Stegostoma tigrinum: one gene and its partner. The protein of the gene in region 2 purifies or fractionates together with the protein of the main gene of each other region. This does not show direct contact. Links are inferred from orthologs where the notes say so. Each region holds a gene or a part of one and is shown on either strand. Other genes may lie near its edges.

Region 1 (10,147 bases), on a different chromosome or scaffold from region 2:
GTGCCATTCCTGGTTAATGTTCTGTCCAGGTGGCAGGACAGATTCTGCAGGAATGCACCCTCTAAGCTATGCAGTTGATGCGAAGGGCCACTCGGTGTTCTGATGCATTCATTCCAGTTCTCTGCCACTGCTGCACATGGACCATGGAAGTCTGTAGAGTGGCTGGAGAAAACAGAAGGAACATAGTGCTGCCACATCTGCTGGGCTATCAGGAGTGTGTGGCTTGAGAGTCAACATTAACTCCAAGCCACATGTAGTTTCATTGCATCAGGTCAATTTTGGGCAAAGAAATATCCAACTGATTATCACCTATTTCCCTCACCACCGTTAATGAATTAGTGCTTCTCCATGTTGAACACCACTAAGAAGAAACACAGAGGGTAGCACACAACCCAAGACCTAATAATATAAAATCCGATGTCATCTGTTCACTGATCAACGCAGAGAATGAACAGATATATACTTTTTAAAGCCAGCTTATTTAATTGTAGACCAATGCATACGATTAGCAAACAGAATGAACGCACAATAAACCAAAAGAACTGCATTTATGGAAATCAGAAAGAAAACCAGAAATTGCTAGAAAAGCTCAGAAGGTCTGGCAGCATACGTGGAGAGAAATCAGAGTTAACGTTTCAGGTTCTGACAAAGGATCATTGGACATGAAACGTTAACTCTGATTTCTCTCCATAAATGCTGCCACACCTGCTGACCTTTTCCAGCACTGTTTTAATTTGAGAATGAACACACAAATTGTTTTAAATCAAAAAAGAAAATGCTGAAGAAACTCAACAAGCCCGGCAGCATCTTTGAAAAGAGAAACAGAGCTAATATTTCGGAACCTGATATCACTCTTGTCTGAATTGAATGGAAATGGAAAAGCTTGTTTTATGCCGTTGACAAAGGAAAAGCAAGTGGTACAGATGGGGAGGGTGCCCAGAACAAAAGATAAAGGGAGTGTTAATGGTGGTAAAGAAGTGTTTGAGATGTAGAACAGGCATGAATAGGTGAGTAAAGGATAAAAATCAATGCTAACAAGTTACAAACAAGGTGGGGAGGATAGGAATTGTCATCAAAATGAAAGACCAACCTTCTGTTCTGAAGTTGTTGAATTCAACTTTTACATTTAGAGGCTATAGGGTGCCTAAGTAGTCAATGAGTTTCTGTTACTACAGCTCACGTTAAATGTCAGTGGAACACTGCCACAGGCCAGGACAGAATTGTTAGCATTGGAGGAAGATGGTAACCTCCGTCGGGCATTTTGAAATTGGAAACGCCTTAATTCTGTTTCTTGGTCCATAGATGTTGTCAAACGATCCAGGTTTCTCCAGCATTTTCTGTTTTTATTTCAGATTTCTAACATCTGTATTTTGTTCCTAATTGTACGAACTGTTTGATTGACTCTTCCTCCAATCCTCTGCAAAGGGGAAAGCCTTGCCACCACTAAGGTCAATAATCTATTGTTTATTAGAAACAGTAATAACAATCTTACATCTTATCACTCTATGCTACTGTTACAGATCTCCAAATTTCTTTTAATGACTGTCTACAATACAAATGGTAAGCCTTCATCCCTGTGCCATCTAATTAACATGAAAGATTTCAAAATGGTGTTTCTGTTCATGAAACAAATTTAAAGCAATACTCAAAAGTACAATTAATTAACACTTTAAAAAAAGTTAGACGCCATCAGTTAAGATGCGAGTAGTGTCCTGAGTTTCCAGTCATTATTTTGACACAAGTTTCCTCAGACACCATAGTCAGAAAGTAGATTCCTAATTCACTCAAGTTGTGTTTGAATAAAGAACAAGGAGAAATCAGACCATGTTAAACAGTGGACTTACCAAAAGATAAGTACTGGTATCTAGTTTTCTCTTGTAGCCTGGAAGATCAACATTGATCAAGATATATAAATATTTATGAAGGTCATTTAAAACACATTTTAATAGGAACATTTTAAATGACTTAAGTAGGTCAAATACTATAGGAACATACATCTTTAACATATCACAAATAACCCACTATTGGATGAGTTTTTATAATAATATTAGATTTTCATATTTGGGTGCTCCTTTCTACTTTTCAAAGCTTATTGTAATGCTGTATATCGAAAACATCAACTTTGCATTTACCTTTTTTTGAATGGCAGCTAAGCAAAATCTGAATGAAAGCACCAGGGATGATAAAGATAACCACCAGGCAATAATAAGCTCGATCTAAACAGTCTGGTCTTTTTATCCTTAAATTTTCCTAAAAACTTTAAATAGTTAAGAGCAGTATATAGCGTGGTCTCAGACACACTATTGGAAAGATATGTGTTGAAATGTTACAAAGCCAACACTAAGCTCAAGGATAAGAGATAATGGGAACTGCAGATGCTGGAGAATTCCAAGATAAAATGTGAGGCTGGATGAACACTAAACTCAAGGTCTCCTTCTCAATTGCGGAATATTTTTGTCGAAGATTATTCAATGTTCCGGCAAAATACCCAACAGAGCTTTCTATATTCTTATCTTCATGCAAGAGCACAGCATTGACACCCACATCAACCACCACCTTGAATGGGTTTGCATAATTTGGTGTAGCTAACACTGGGGCAGGGGTTAATACAGCTTTCAGGCTGTCAAATGCCTTCTGATGTCTCTGCCCACTATGATTTTCTGCAAATCTTCAATAAATCAGTCAGTGGAGTAATCACACCACTAAAATTCGATATGAATGTCTAATTAAAACAACTCAGTCGCAGAAATCATCAATGATTAGATTAGATTAGGTTAGCATACCTACAGTGTGGAAACAGGCCCTTTGGCCCAACAAGTCCACACCGCCCCTTGATACATCCCCCCCCCCCGTCCCGTCCCCCCCCCCCCGTCGTCGGGGACGGGGGGGGGAGAGGGGGAGGGAGGGGAGAGGGGGAGGGAGGGGAGAGGGGGAGGGAGGGGAGAGGGGGAGGGGAGAGGGGGAGGGGGGACGGGGGAGGGGGGACGGGGGAGGGGGGACGGGGGAGGGGGGACGGGGGAGGGGGGACGGGGGAGGGGGGACGGGGGAGGGAGGGGGGACACGGGCGAGGGGGGGCGACGACGGGGGGGGACGACGACGGGGGGGGGACGGGGGACGGGGGGGGAGACGGGGGGGGGGACGACGGGGGGGGACGGGGGACGGGGGACGGGACGGGGGGGGGGGGGACGGGGGGGGGACGGGGGGGGGGGACGGGGGGGGGGGGACGGGGGGGGGGACGGGGGGGGGCGGGGGGGACGGGGGGGACGGGGGGGACGGGGGGACGGGGGGGGAGGGGGGGGAGGGGGGGGGAGGGGGGGGACGACGGGGGGGGGGGACGACGGGGGACGACGACGGGGGGGGGGGAGGAGAAGGGAGGGGGGGGACGGAGGGGAGGCGGAGGGGGGGGGAGGGGGACGGGACGGGGAGGGGGACGGGGGGGGGAGGGGGACGGGGAGGGGGACGGGGGGGGGAGGGGGACGGGGAGGGGGACGGGGGGGGGAGGGGGACGGGGGGGGGACGGGGGGGGGAGGGGGACGGGGGGGGAGGGGGACGGGGGGGGGAGGGAGGGGGGGGGACGGGGGGGGAGGGAGGGGGGGGACGGGGGGGGAGGGAGCTGTGGGGAGGTAAGGGAGTGTCGGGGACACAGTAAAGGAGTTTTCCTTAGTCTGCTTTCCCCCCCACCACTTTGCTCTAACCTTCCTCCTCCTTCACATTCACCACATCCACCGCCACCATGTCCGGCTTGTCCAGGCCGATGTTGAACGGGAAGACCTTCCTCTCGGTCACCCCCGAGGGGACCACATCGGGCTTGGGCCCGAATTTGCGAGGGTAATAGTCCCCGCTCAGGTACCGAGACGTGTCTTCCGCCATCTTCCGCCGCCTGCTCGATTCGGCCCCGCCCCCACGGACTGTTAAAGCTGGTCCATCCCCCCGCCGTCACGCGGACAATGCCAGTCAACAAAACCCTTCTTTACAGCCCGTGCAAACTTCGTTTACCCAAAATACACCGCCTCCCCAAATACATCCATATTTACTTTTGCACTCATCACTTCTGGTCTAGAGATAGAAAATGTGTTGACATGGGGACGTTTCCTTTAACACATATTGCTGTTTGTACTGAGATGACAAGGTGTGTCAGAAATCTTCAGAAGGGTCCAGACCCGAAACGTCAGCCTTCCTGCTCCTCTGATGCTGCTTGGCCTGCTGCGTTCATCCAGCTCTATACCTTGTTATCTCAGATTCTCTAGCATCTACAGTTCCTACTATCTCTTGCTGTTTGTACTGACGGTTCTTAAGCTCACTCGGGAAACTCTACAGCTTGCTAACTAGCTGCCGGGGACAAGGGAAGACAACCATCAAACTGGGTTTGCAAGCTGCAACCAAGAAAAAGAGTTCGCCCACATTGTAAATAATGAATTTTGCAAACTATGCAGCAGCAAATGATAATATTTTAAATTACTTTGAGGGGACAGGGCAAGAGTATTTTCGTTCAAACTAGATTTTAAAAAAAGTTTTCGGACTGTCAACAGGATTTTCGTCTACTAGCAGAGTGTTTAAAATGCATTGGGATCCCATACTGTATCCTGAAAACATTGATGAAACTGTTCGGTATTGAGGATTTGTGAAGCAAGGTTTTTGCGAACAAGTTGTGAGGTAAACTTCAGTAAAACAAGCGGGCGTTTTTATTGCTGAGATCCTGTTAAAATATTACTGATTGAACTGACTCTTATTTTTCCTGAACAGCCGGGTCCAGCCACAACGGTTGACAAAACCAGGACAAGTGATATGGTGGGAGGAGGTACAGGCAGCTCTGTCAGGAGCACGGAATTCGAAACAGTTCAAACGCGTTAGGGTCGGTACGGTGTCCTCCACGGCTAACAAGTAAAGTGCGCAGACTCAGGATCCGTCCCAGAGCTGCAGTGACTTGTGAAGGTGAGTGTGATAGTGAAGGGTCGGGTGCTATTAAAACAGCCGCACGCTGTTCTTCATGGGAACAGGATGTCATTCCAGGTTTTTGGTATCCGTTGTTCGTGTCTCTGGGTATCGTTTGAATATTGAATATTTAGTGTTTCCAGTTACAGGATACGTACTGACCATTGACACTTTCGATATAATTATACATAAGTTGTGATATTGCAGTTAGGTCTGCTGCTTTGTTTTTTTGTAACAGTGCATAGTATGCATTGATATTTTAACAGCCAACCTTTACTAAATACCTAAATGTGAACTGTCAGGGTGGAGTAGTGTGAAACGTTATTGGTGGGTTTGCTGAGAATATAATCAGCGGATACCTTTCAGGGCGTTCTTGTGGTTGGTGAGATTATATGAAGTAAAACAGAAAATGCTGGAAAATTTCAGCAGGTCTAGCAGCATTAGTGGAGAGAAATTATGAGCTCTTCAATCTTTGACAATGGTGTTTAAAATTGGGAAGAGACCAAACAAACACAGTTGGAAAACTTAAATTGCAAGATGGTTTATTTGGACAAGGCCATGGAGATAGGTGTGTAACAGGATTGTTCAGCTTTAAAAATAAGCAAAGAATATCATTATCAATTATTTGGAATCTGTGCAATTGTTAGCAGTAATCATCTCAGGATAAGATTGTTTGACAAAATTGGAGCTCTTTATGAAAATTAGTGAAAATGTTGCTGAGAACCTTACAATAGTTACATTGAACATAGAACATTACAGCAAAGTACAGGCCCTTCGGCCTTCAATGTTGTGCTGACCTGTCATACTGATCTGAAGCCCATCTAACCTACACTATTCCATGTACATCCATATGCTTATCCAATGACGACTCAAATGTACTTAAACTTGCCAAATCTACGACTGTTGCAGGCAAAGCGTTCCATTCCTGTACTACTGAGTAAAGAAACTACCTGACATCTGTCCTTTATCTTTCACCCCTCAATTTAAAGCGATGCCCCCTCGTGCTTGCCGTCATCACCCTAGGAAAAAGGCTCTCCCTATCCACCCTATCTAACCCTCTGATTATTTTATATGTTTCAATTAAGTCACCTCTCAACCTTCTTCTCTCTAACGAAAACAGCCTCAAGTCCCTCAGCCTTTCCTCGTAAGACCTTCCCTCCATACCAGGCAACATCCTAGTAAATCTCCTCTGCACCCTTTCCAAAGCTTCCACATCCATTGAGTTGACTCAATTGTGTTACATTATTAAAGTTTAAGGACCAATTGGAGAGGATCATATTGCAGAATTTCATATATGAAGATATGGTTGAAGAAGATTACATGCTATTGGCATCAACTTGCGTGAACTGATTGGGAAGACAATGGGAGCAGAAGCTAAGACGCGAAGTTTCTGGTGGGTTGACTTCACTGCTGTCACGGTGAAGTTAGAAACTGATATTAAATCTTCTGAAACAAGAAGATTAGGGAATGTTGCTTGTGGGTTGAGGAAGAATTGTGGCCTAGAGAAGGTTTTTAAATTTTTCTCTTATTTGAATTCAAACTTCATCTGCTGTGGTGGCAGTCCAAGGCCAGGTACACAGAGCCTGAGTCTCTGGATTAATAGTCCAGCAATAATACCACTAGGCCACTGCTTCCCCTTTTTAAAGATGGCCCCCATGGTGACCTCAGCTGGTATGGCAATTGAACCCGCACTGTTGCCATTACTCTGCATTGCAAACCAGCTGTCCAGCCATTTCATGGGATGGAGGAATCAAAGAATCCATACATTCCATAAAGAGGCCATTTGGCCTATCGAGTCTGCAAAAACCTGCCAAACAGCATCCCATCAGACCTGTCCACACTATCTTATCCTCGTAACCTCACAATTACCGTAGCTAATACACCTAGCCTGCACATGAAGTCGTTGGCTTGCTCGCTGAGCTGGCTGGTTTTCATTAAGACGTTTCATCACCAAGCTAGGCGATGAAACATCTGAGCGAGAACAAGCCAGCTTGGTGAGCAAGCCAACAACCTCACCCACAACCCAAGGTACTGATCTTTGCCAAAACTTTGAATAGCCTGTACATCCCTGGACACTATGGGAGAATTTAGCATGGCCAGTCCACCTAACATGCCTGTCATCGAACTGTGGGAGGAAACCCATGCAGGCATGGGGAGAATGTGCAAACCCCACAAAGTCATCCAAGGCTGGAATTGAACCTGAATCCTGGGTGTTGTGAAGCAGCAGCAGAGACCACTGTACCATCCGAAATAACTTAACATCAGCAGGAACACCCCATCCAATATGCATGCAGTCTGATTTAAGCAAGTTGAAAGACAAATTGTGATACAGTTCACGTTCACCAAAGGAGCCTATCTGAAGGGGGCTCCCAGATTTGAATTAGGGACCTCTTGATCTGCAGTCAAATGCTCTACATCTGAACTATACCCTCATTATTCACTGCCTGGACCAGCATTAATTCCCAACCTTGGTTGCCTTGAAAAGGTAGCAATGAGTTGCCTTGAACAGTCTTAGTCCTAGTGCTCTATATAGGCCTACAATGCTGTTAGGAAATGAATTCAGAATTTTAACCCAACAACACTGAAGGAACAAAGAAATATTTCTATGTTGGGATGGTGTGTGGCTTGGAGTGGAATTTTGCAGGTGGTGATTTTTTAGGTATTTTGTCCTTCCATATGGAAGCGGTCTTGGGTTTGGAAGATGATGTCTCAGGAGCTTTAGTGTATTTTGACAGTAGACTGTATACATTCTTGCTCCTGAACATCGGTGCCAGAGGGAGTGGATGCTTGTGGATGGGGTGCTAATTAAGTGGCTGCTCTATCCTGGGTGGTCTCAAGGTTCTTGTGTTGTTGGAGCTGCACTCATCCAGCCAAGTAGGAATATTCCATCACACTCCTGACTTGTGCCTTGTAGTTGGTGGACAGGCTTTGGAGAGTCAGATGGTGAGTTACTTGCTGCGGAATTCTCAGGCCCTGACTGGCTTTTGTAGCCACTGTATTTGTATGATGAGCCCAGTTCAGTTTTTGGTCAATGGTAACCCCCAGGATGTTGATAGTGGGGGATTTAGTGATGGTATTTCTATTGAATGTCAAGGGGCAGTGGTTAGATTGTACCTTACTGGAGATGGTCATTGACTAGCATTTGTGTGGTGAAATGCTAGTTGCCCTTTTCAGTCAAAGCCTGAATATTGTCTCAGTCTTGCTGCATTTGAACATGGACTTCCTCAGTGTCTGAGGAGTCACAAACAACACCTCAGTATTATGCAAACATCGGTGAACATTTCTACTTCTGACCTTTATAGTGGGAATGTCATTGATGAAGATGGTTGGACCTAGGACACTACCCTGTGGAACTAGAGCTCTTGTGCATTGGTATCCATATTTCTGGGTCAGGAAGCCCAGGCTCGAGTCCCACCTATACCAGAGGCGTGTAATAGCATCTCTGAACCGGTTAATTAGAAATACCTACCCTGACAAACCACAGCGATGACTTCCAAAGAACCACAACCCTCTTCCATTGGACCAAGTATGACCCTAGCCAGCGGAGAGTTTTCCCCCTTATTCCGGTTTTGTTCATGCTCCTTGATGCCATAGTCAGTCACATGGCCTCAATAGCAAGAGCATGTACTGTCACCTCCTCTTTGGATTTCAGCGCAATTGTACATGTTTGAGTTAAGCTTGGAATGAGGTGAGGAGTCAAATGGCCCTGGGAGTACAGCAAACAGCGTGCCAATGAACAGATAACATTTGATAGCATCATCCATCATTTTGAGAGTCAACTGATGGGGCATTAATTGGCCAGGTTGGATTTGACCTGCTTTTTTGGTGTACAGCATGTACCTGGGCAATTTTCTACATTATCAGGTAGTTGCCAGTATTGTAATTGTACCGGAAAAAGCTTGACAAGGGGTGCAGCAAGTTCTGGAGCACAAGTCTTCAGTGCTATTGCTGGAAGGTTGTCAGGGTCCATTTTCTTTTGCTGTAACCAATGCCTTATGTATCCATGTGCATTTGTGACAGACGTATTGCTGAGGATGAGTTTAAGTATGTTTTTCTCTCATTTTGATTCCCTCACCATCTGTGCCATTGTCGTTTAGCTTGATCAGTCATACAGTTGCCAAGTCACTGGTTGGGAAATTTCAATGACCATCACTAGGAGTACATTCTGCACCCCTGCTATCCTCCATGTTTCCTCCAAGTGTTTTCAACTTGGAGGACAATTCAAGGGAGGAAAATATGTGTTAATTAGTAGGAGGTTTCCTTGCCTGTGTTTGAACCAGTGACTCAGCCATCATGAAGTCTCATGGAAATATTGAGGACTCCCAGGGCTGGTCCCAACTATGTGCTATTGTGTTGCCACCTCTGCTGAGCCTATCCTGCTGGTGCAACAGGATGTATCCAGGGGTAGTAATCATGGTGTCAGGGACAGTCATATACATAGAATCATACTTTAGAGATAAGCAAATCCTGAGAAGGATAAAGAAGTTTACGTAGAGGTATTGATAGGATAAGTTGGGAAGAAGTTGGCAAATGGATTATATTATGGTAAAATGTGAGGTGATTAATTTTGAAAGGGAGAATGAGAACTAAGAATTGGAGGTACTTGTGCATGAAAAACAGAGCTAGCACAAGTGCAGAAGGTCATCAGAATGGCTAATGGATGTTAGCCCTTATTTCAAGAGGTTTAAGAGTAGGGAGGATTTACAGCAATTGTACAAGGCGCTGGTGAGAGTGTATCTGCAGTCCTGAGAGCAGTTTTCCTTATTTAAGGAAAGATATTATTTCATTGAAGGCAGTTGAGAGAATATTTGTAGGGATAGTGTAGGGGGATGGGCTTTGATTAGTTCACAGGTCGGCGTAACATCAAGGTCGGAAGGGCCTGTTCTGCGCTGTATTATTCTATGTTCTATGATCCCTGGTATGGAGGGATCATCTTATGAATAAAAGTTAGAGGTTGGCGTTGTACTCGGAATTTAGGAAAAAATGAAAGGTCGTTGAAGATGTAGGATTCTTAAGGGGCTTGACAAGGTAAATGCTGAGAGGATGTTCCCTTCATGGGAGAGTCGAGGACCAGAAGGCATAGTCTCAGAATAAAGGGTTGCCAGTTTAAAACTGAGATGAGGAAAAATTTCTTGGGTTGAGTCTTTGGCACTCCTTGCCATAGAGAACTCTGGGACCAGGGCCCATGTGGATATTGAAGGCTGAGCAAAATGGA
Region 2 (9,275 bases):
TACTAACCTCATCCCGCCTCCTTGACCTGTCCGTCTTCCCTGTTCTGACCTATCCCCTCCCTACCTCCCAACCTATACTCTCCTCTCCACCTATCTTCTTTTCTCTCCATCTTCAGTCCGCCTCTCCCTCTCTCCCTATTTATTCCAGAACCCTCTCCCCATCCCTCTCTCTGATGAAGGGTTTAGGCCCGAAACGTCAGCTTTTGTGCTCCTGAGATGCTGCTTGGCCTGTTGTGTTCATCCAGCTTCACACTTTGTTATCTTGAGTGAGAATAAGTGTTCTTTTTCAGGGTGATGACCCATGATGTGTGGAGTTTCATGGGGATCAGTGCTGGGAGCACAACTGTTTACAATATAAATTAGTGACTTGGAGGAAGGAAGAGAATGTAGGCAAATTTGCAGACGACACTAACATAGGTGGAAAAACAGATCATGAGAGGAATACAGCAATTCACAAAGATATTGATAGATTAGCTAAATGGGCAAAATGTTAGAATATGGAATATAATATGCAAAAATGTAAAGTTGTTCATTTTGGAATGAAGAACAAAAGAACAGAACATTATTTTGTCCAGACCAAACCCCTTTCAGATATACCTATGAGACAGCTTCGAACCCAACTTTTATCTTATTTAAAGGCAAGTGTAAGGTGCTGTGTTCCAGAACTAATTCGATTGGTTACACTATTCGACTTTAAGCACTTCAGTTTTACACTATAGTTAAAAAAACAAACAAAACAGGAAATGGGATAACTCCGATTCTATTGGAAAACTTAACAGAATAATGGATTTTTTTTAACTACTAAACAGCAACTGTTCCAATACAGTAACATCCAATAGACAAAGCCGTGGTAAAGGCAAATTCAATAAATAAGATTGTTTCATATGTCATGTTTCTTCAGTCCAGGAGGAAAGAACATCAAGAAAAAATTTTGGCGTAGAGACAGTGAACTCAAGCATTTTGTGGTAGCTGGGAGAGATGTATAGCAACTTCCAAACCCTAACTACTGAAAGCTAAACAAAAACCCTGGTTCCGTGGGAGCCTGACCCCACCCATTCAGGCTGCTTCTATTCTTCCAACTTTAAAAAAAACCCAAGGCCTCACAAGCTGTTTGCTTTATTGTCTTGAATCATGCTGCTTTGTATCTCTGTCTCAACCTCTCTTCAAAAGAAAAACTAGAACAAAATACACCATTTAAAGCCATAATATGATCACAATTTAGATGGAGGGAAACTGCAAAAAGCTGAAACACAAAGGCACTTGGGGAATATTTGTGCATGAAACACAGAATCCAAACACACAGGTGTTGCAGGCAATCTGGAAATCTTATGAAATGTTGGCGCTTATTTCAAGGGGATTGGAATATAACAGGAGGAAAGTCTTGCTACAATTGTGCAAGATGCTAGTGAGACCACTTCTGGAGTATTCTATGTAGTTTTGGTCCCCCTAATTAAGGAAAGATATCATTTCATTGGCGGCAGTTCACAGAAGAATCAGTGGGATATCCCTGGAATGGAGAATTAATTGATTAAAAGATTAATCAAGTTGGGACTCTACTCATTGGTATGTAGAAGAATGAGAGGTGTTCTCATTGAAACAGATAGGTTTCTTAAGGGGCTTAACAGGACAAATGCTGAAAGAATATTTTCCTTCATTTAGAAGTCTAACATAAGAGGACATAGTCTTAGAATAAAGGGTGTCAATTTAAAACTGAGGTAAAGAGGAATTTCTTCTCTGACAGTTGAGAATCTTTGGAACTCCTTGGCCATATTTAAGGCTGAGATAGGTAGATTCTTGATCAATAGGAGAATGAAGGGTTATGGGGAAAGAGAAGGAAAGTGAATATGAGGAATGGTGTCAGATCCTATTGTACGGGGGAGCAAGCTCAATGGCCTGAACGGCTTACTCCTATTTCTATTTCTAATGGTCTTATGGACTCCCTCCTAAACAGCACTGTGTACTGAAGCTCACCTTCATCATCTTAAGGACGGCTCAAAATGGGCAACAAATGCTGATATAGCCAATCTGCGAGTCACTGTAAATGTTAAATTAGACAAAATATCATGCTGGTAGTAAAATTTGCATATTCTTCTGTCAGTCATTCAATATTACTTTAATACTTCTGGCTTTGTACTTTCAGCCTTCTGCAGAGTTCGGGGATAATTCTGATTATGTGAAGACTTTTAAAACGTGAGATAGTAAATCTGAGTTCATACTTCAAGCTTAGAGAATCTGAGATAACAAGGTGTAGAGCTGGATGAACACAGCAGGCCAAGCAGAATCAGAGGAGCAGGAAAGCTGAAGCTTTGGGCCAGATAATAAAATGTGAGGCTGGATGAACACAGCAAGCCAAGCAGCATCCCAGGAGCATAAAAGCTGACGTTTCGGGCCTAGACCCTTCATCAGAGAGGGGGATGGGGTGAGGGTTCTGGAATAAATAGGGAGAGGGGGGAGGCGGACCGAAGATGGAGAGAAAAGAAGATAGGTGGAGAGGAGAGTTTAGGTGGGGAGGTAGGGAGGGGATAGGTCAGTCCAGGGAAGACGGACATGTCAAGGAGGTGGGATGAGGTTAGTAGGTAGGAGATGGAGGTGCGGCTTGGGGTGGGAGGAAGGGATGGGTGAGAGGAAGAACAGGTTAGGGAGGCAGAGACAGGTTGGACTGGTTTTGGGATGCAGTGGGTGGAGGGGAAGAGCTGGGCTGGTTGTGTGGTGCAGTGGGGGGAGGGGACGAACTGGGCTGGTTTTGGTCTGAAGAAGGGTCTAGGCCCAAAGCATCAGCTTTCCTGCTCCTATGATGCTGCTTGGCCTGCTGAGTTAATCCAGCTCCACGCCTTGTTATCTCATACTTCAAGCAGCTCCATTCAGGCACCACAGATTCTGTTCTAAAATTTCAATCCAACACAATTCAGTCATTTGGTAATTCATCATTAGTAGAAAAATGACAGGCTTGAGACCTCTCAAGCAACCTGGGCAAAACAAAATATTGAATTCCCAAGAGGACGAGAAAGGAATTAAAATGGGGGCAAGATTTATCTTAATATGTTAGAATAATTTTACGGAAAAATATTTAGGAGGAGACTAGTTCCAATATTACTTCCTTCCTCCCAAACCTGTTTGGGAACTTGGTAAAGCAGCTTGTTTGTTGGTTGCACTCCAGGCAATAAATGCTGATCTAGCCAGCGACGCCAACATCCCATAACAAGTAATTTAAAAAGATACATTTTGATTGATGATTTGGTTATAGCTGATGGTGGCGGAGGGGTTGGATGCTTGTGGGTGGATGCAAGTAGGCTGCTTTGTCCTGAATAAAAGCCAGACTTCTTGAATGTTGTCAGACCTACACTCATCCAAACAAGTGGAGAACTGCAAATGCTGTAAATCAGGAACAAAAACAAAGTTGTTGGAAAAGCTCAGCTGGTCTGGCAGCATCTGTGAAGGGAAAAACAGAGTTAATGTTTCGGGATAACAAGGTGTGGAGATGGATGAACACAGCAGGCCAAGCAGCATCTTAGGAGCAGGAAAGCTGACGTTTCAGGCCTAGGCCCTTCAACAGAAATGGGGGAGGGGAAGTGGGTTCTGAAATAAGTAAGGAGAGAGGAGGAGGCGGACAGAAGATGGATAAAGGAGAAGATAGGTCGAGAGGAGACAGACAAATTAAAGAGGTAGGGATGGAGTCAGTAAAGGTGAGGTCAAAGGGGCGGGATGAGGTTAGTAGGTAGGAAATGGGGGTGTGGCTTGAGGTGGGAGGAGGGGATAGGTGAGAGGAAGAACAGGTTAGGGAGGCGGGGGCGAGCGGGGCTGGTTTTGGGATGCTGTTGGGGGAAGGGAGATTTTGAAGCTTGTGAAATCCACATTGATACCATTGGGCTGCCGGGTTCCCAAGCGGAATATGAGTTGCTGTTCCTGCAACCTTCAGGTGGCATCGTTGTGGCACTGCAGGAGGCCCAGGATGGACACGTCGTCTGAGTAATGGGAGTTGGAATGGTTAGCAAATGGGAGGTACAGTTGTTTATTGCAAACCGAGCGTAGGCGTTCTGCAAAGCGGTCCCCAAGCCTCCGCTTGCTTTCCCCAATGTAGAGGAGGCCACAACGGGAACAGCGGATGCAGTATGCCACACTGGCAGATGTGCAGGTGAACTTCTGCTTGATGTGGGGCCTGGGATGTGGATGAGGGAGGAGGTGTGGGGACAGATGTAGCACTTCCTGCGGTTGCAGGAAAAAGTACCGGGTGTGGTGGGGTTGGAGGGGAGTGTGGAGTGGACAAGGTAGTCACGGAGAGAATGATCTCTCCGGAAAGCAGACAAGGGTGGGTAGGGGAAAATGTCTTTGGTGGTGGGGTCAGATTGCAGATGGCAGCAATGTCGGAGGATGATGCATTGTATCCGAGGTTGGTGGGGTGGTACGTGAGGACGGGGGGGATTCTGTTTTGATTGTTATTGTGGGGAAGGGGTGTGAGGAATGAAATGCGGGAGACACTGTCGATGATGTTCTTCACCACTGAGGAGGGGAAAGTTGCAGTCCTTGAAAAACGAGGACATCTGGGATGTGCGGGAGTGAATGCTTCATCCTGGAAGCAGATGCGGCGGAGGCGGAGGAATTGGGAATAGGGGCTGGAATTTTTGCAGGAGGGTGGGTGGGAGGAGGTGTATTCTAGGTAGCTGTGGGAGTCGGTGGGCTTGAAATGGATATCGGTTTGTAGGTGGTTCCCCGAGATGAGACAGAGAAGTCCAGGAAGGTGAGGGAGGTGTTAGAGATAGTCCAGGTGAAGTTGCTAGTGACCCTTCCTCACAACAATGTGTTCATTGGAAGAACCCACATTGACTGTATGGGCCGAATTGACACCATCTGCACTGTGACTAATTCTGTCATTTCAACATTAGTCTTCAACCCACTGCTGACTCTTTCTGAGAGCAAATCGAAACTTAATCTCGCTGCCCGTTGTTCTGGAGAATGGAAAGAGAAAATACTTCCTACCAAGACGCAGTTAGAAACAAGCCTAACAAAGTGTGAGGCTGATTGAACACAGCAGGCCAAGCAGCATCTCAGGAGCACAAAAGCTGACGTTTCGGGCCTAGACCCTTCATCAGAGAGATCCTCAGACATCCTCTCTGATGAAGGGTCTAGGCCCGAAACGTCAGCTTCTGTGCTCCTGAGATGCTGCTGGGCCTGCTGTGTTCATCCAGCCTCACATTTTATTATCTTGGATTCTCCAGCATCTGCAGTTCCCATTATCATAGAAACAAGCGTATTGCACAGAACCCGGCCTTCCAGCAGGAGGCGCAGGCACTCAGCAGGGGGCGGAATGCGGGGAGGCACGGGCGGTGGCGGTCGGCAGGGGGCGGAATGCGGGGAGGACCGGGCGGTGGCGGTCGGCAGGGGGCGGAATCCGAGGAGGACCGGGCGATGGCGATCGGCAGGGGGTGGAATGCGGGGAGGACAAATCGGTGGCGGTCGGCAGGGGGCGGAATGCGGGGAGGACAAATCGGTGGCGGTCGGCAGGGGGCGGAATGCGGGCAGGATCAGCCGGTGACGGTCAGCAGGAAGCGGTTTGCTGGGAGTTCCTGTCCCCCGGTTGCTAGGCTGATTAATCGTGCGGCGGTTGATTGAGGGTCAGTGCCGGTGCGGAATTTGCTGATCCTCCCCGTACACACCCACCGGCTTCCGGGAAGCTGGAGCGCGGTCTCGGTCCGTTTTACTGGACGTGGCTGGCGTCTCGGCTAGTTTCGACATTAGAGCCGCCGGTTTCGGGCCTGTGACTGTGGCGGCGAGGAGCAGTTCCCTGGGGAATGATGTGAGGAGGAAGAGGCGGTGAGATCGTGCGCTGGGTGAAGGATGGAGGATAAATACACCAACAACATCATCTCCAGCACCAGGCTGGGCCCTGTGGATGCACCCAGCTCCAGGTAAATGTGTCCCGGGACTGTCAGTGAGCCGATCAGTCAAAATATCAGGAGCGCCAACGGACTACATAGGACGGAACACGTTTTCTTAACAAAGTGGTCAATTACCAGAGGTAATAGATTGCAGAGTGAGAGGGAAACTGAGTAATTTATTCACCCAAAGGGTAGTAGCGATTGGAACTCCCTAAAAAGCTCTTGGAGCTGGAACGTCTCATTGCATTCAACCACATCACTTTGATATACACATGATCCCCCCCCCGCCCCGTCAAAATCCCAGGCCTTATCTTTCCTGAAACGTCAGCTTTTGTGCTCCTGAGATGCTGCTTGGCCTGCTGTGTTCATCCAGCCTCACATTTTATTATCTTTAAACTGTACTGGGCATGACTAAAGATGCAGTTCTCAAATTTAAACAGGTGTGGAAAAATTGATTTGCAGATTTAGAGTTTTCTCATCTACTTCATGACTGTTGTTGGTATTGGGATAGCAGGGTTAATATTCTGTATACTTTTAAAACAAAATGTTGGCATGATCCAAAATTCTGCATGTTCTATTTCTGCTGCTCAATTTCTGTGAGGGTTATGAGGAGTAAAGTAGGAGACAGCATTGTTTTTAAATTTATGAATATTTATTTATATTTATTAGTCAGTTTTAAATTATGTAGGATTCGATACTGTCTTGTAAAATATTAAATAATTATGACTGCATTTAGTTTAAAGTAGCACAGTGATTAAAAGCTACCTTAAAAGAATGAGTCTGACAGCATCTGTGAAGAAAAATCATGTTACTGTTTCATGGCCAGTGTCCCTTCCTCAGAACTGATGGTAGCTAGGAAAATGTCAGTTTATATTCCAGAAGATAGGTTGGGGGGTGGTGGTAAGGAGTAAATGTCAGATAGGAATAGAGCCCAAAGTGACAGAGGAACAGTTGGACAGTCAAAGGAGTTGATAATGATCTGGCTGGGAGGGTGAATTGTTGTTAACGGGGACTGTTAGTAACGAACAATTGGTAGTGTCTAATGACAGGCTATGTGATAACAAGGCCTGGGGTGGGGGCTAGGACATGGGAGATTTTAGGCCCTAAGATTATTGAACTTGATTTTGAGTCTGGAGGGCTTCAGGGTCCCCAAATGGAAAATGACATGTTCTTCCAGCTTGTGGTGTGCTTCACTGGAACACTGCAGCAAGCCTGAGACACAGATATTGGTTAGGGAACAGGGTGTTGTGTCAAGGTGGTAGGCAACTGGAAGCTCAGGATCTCTTCTGTGGGCAGAATGTGGGTGTTTTGCAAAGCGGCCATCCAGCCTACCCTTCGTTTCCCTGGTATAGAGGAGACCACATTCTGAGCAGTGAATACAGTAGACTAGATTGTGGGAAATGCAGGTAATGTGCTGCTTCACCTGGATGATATGTTTGGGCCTTTGGAAACTAGGGTGGGAAGAGGTAAGTGGGGTAGGTATTACACCTACAGCAGTTGCAAGGGAAGGTGCTGTGGGCAGGTGTTGGGAGTGAAGGAAGACTGGACCACGGTGCCCCAGAGGGAACGGTCTGTGCGGACAATGGAGGGGAGGTGTGGGGGGCGCGGGGGATATGTGTCTGTTGGTGGTATCTCACTGGAGGTGGTGGAAATGGTGCTGATGATCTTCTGGATGTGGATGCTGGGGGTGGTAGATAAGGACAAGGGGTCCCCTGTTGCTGTTCTGGGAGGGAAGAGAGGGGTTAAATGCAGAAGTGTGGGAGATGGGCCAGAGGACTCTTTCAACAACGATGCTGAAGAATCCAAGGTTGAGGAAGAAGATTGACACTGGAGCCTCCGAAATGTCTATGTTGGCATCATCTGAAAATATGTGACAGAGTCGGAAGAACTGAGAGAATAGAATGGAGTCTTTACAAGAAGAAGAGTGCAAGGATATATAGATCAGGTAGCTGTGGAAGTCAGTCGGTTTATAGTGGATATTAGTGGCCAGTCTATTCCCAGAAATTGAAACAGATAACGAGGAAGTGAAAGGAGGAGTCAGAGATAGACCAAGTGAAAGTGAGGGCAAGGTGGAAATTGGAAGCAGAATCAATGAACGTTTCCAATTCCAGATGAGAGAGGGAAGCAGCACCGATGATATCATCGATATAGCAGAGAAAGTGTTCCGGGTGGTGGCCAGAATAGGACTGGAGCAAGGAATGTTCCACGTACCTCACAAAGAGACAGGCATAACTGGGACCCATGTAGGTGCCCATGGCCACCCCTCTGGCCTGAAGAAAATGAGAGGAGTTGAAAAGTTGTTGAGGGTAAGGATGAGCTTGGCCAAGTAGAGGGTGGCGGTGGGTAGGAACAATTCAGGCCTTTGCTCCAGGAAGAAGCGGAGAACCCTGAGACCATCGTGGTGGGGGATAGACCTGTAAAGGGATTGCACATCTATGGTAAAGAAGAGATGGCAGCAGCCACTTCTGAAACTGGCATAAAGTGTCAGAGGATTCACAAATGTATGTTAGCAGGGACTGGACAGGAGAGAAAAGACTGAGTCAAGGTAGGAACAGATGAGTTCTGTGGGGCAGGAGCAGGCTGACACAATAGATCTGCCAGGCAATCCTATTTGTGGATTTTTGAAAGGAGGTAGAAGCAAGCTGTGCGGGGCTGGGGGCCTGTCAGCTTGGAGGCAGTGGGGGATGAGAGATAACCTGGATGAAATGAGATCAGTTACCTGATATGCCATGGTGAGGTCATTGTACTTATCTCTTCCTGCCTTGACTCGGTCTTTGGCAGGGACTGAACCAGGGGAGAAAAGGCTGCACATATCTTAACATCTAACAGAGAAATAATGGCATAAACCCAAGGGTAGGTAAGAATTTCTTTTATGCAGCAAGTGATTATGACCTGGAACAAAAACAAAGTTGCTGGAAAAGCTCAGCAGGTCTGGCAGCATCTGTGAAGGAGAAAACAGAGTTAACATTTTAGGTCCGGTGACCCTTCCTCAGGTTATGACTTGGAATGCATTGTCTAAGAGGGAATTGAATGACAACTTTTGAGAGGGAATTGGGAACACTTGTAAATTTTGCACGACTGTAAGTGGCAAGGGAGTGCAGCTTATTAGATAGCTCCTTTCAAAGAGAAGACCGATGGGCTGAAGAGCCACTTTCTGTATCATTCTTAGAGGCTAAGAATGTTGTGCATTGGGAATTTTGAAAGGATTAACTATAATGTTCAATGTATAAATAATAAAATGTTTCTTAATCTGCACCCATGTTGCTGAATTTGTATCCATAGTTTAAAAATTAGGACGGTTACTATAGTTTGTCATTTATCTTATTTAATTCACTGGTATATAAAACAAAAGTACTGATCTGTCTTCTCTGATGAAGGGTCTAGGCCCGAAACGTCAGCTTT

What was found.
Region 1: the proteins of slc30a5 (region 2) and slc30a6 purify together in Homo sapiens (co-immunoprecipitation; 5 studies listed by BioGRID and IntAct, with this or other methods). This does not show direct contact. The link is inferred for Stegostoma tigrinum from reciprocal best matches to the Homo sapiens genes SLC30A5 and SLC30A6.

Annotation. Positions count from the first base shown.
Region 1 is NC_081362.1:79,760,167-79,770,313, reverse strand, and holds the start of slc30a6 (zinc transporter 6), read right to left. Parts: upstream 3,913-10,147; 5' UTR 3,871-3,912; coding exon 3,696-3,870; intron 1,883-3,695; coding exon 1,845-1,882; intron 1-1,844. Other genes in the region: protein CEBPZOS-like, read left to right, coding at 4,988-5,040. UniProt on the Homo sapiens protein: Has probably no intrinsic transporter activity but together with SLC30A5 forms a functional zinc ion:proton antiporter heterodimer, mediating zinc entry into the lumen of organelles along the secretory pathway.
Region 2 is NC_081356.1:109,703,997-109,713,271, reverse strand, and holds the start of slc30a5 (proton-coupled zinc antiporter SLC30A5), read left to right. Parts: upstream 1-5,499; 5' UTR 5,500-5,832; coding exon 5,833-5,903; intron 5,904-9,275. UniProt on the Homo sapiens protein: Together with SLC30A6 forms a functional proton-coupled zinc ion antiporter mediating zinc entry into the lumen of organelles along the secretory pathway.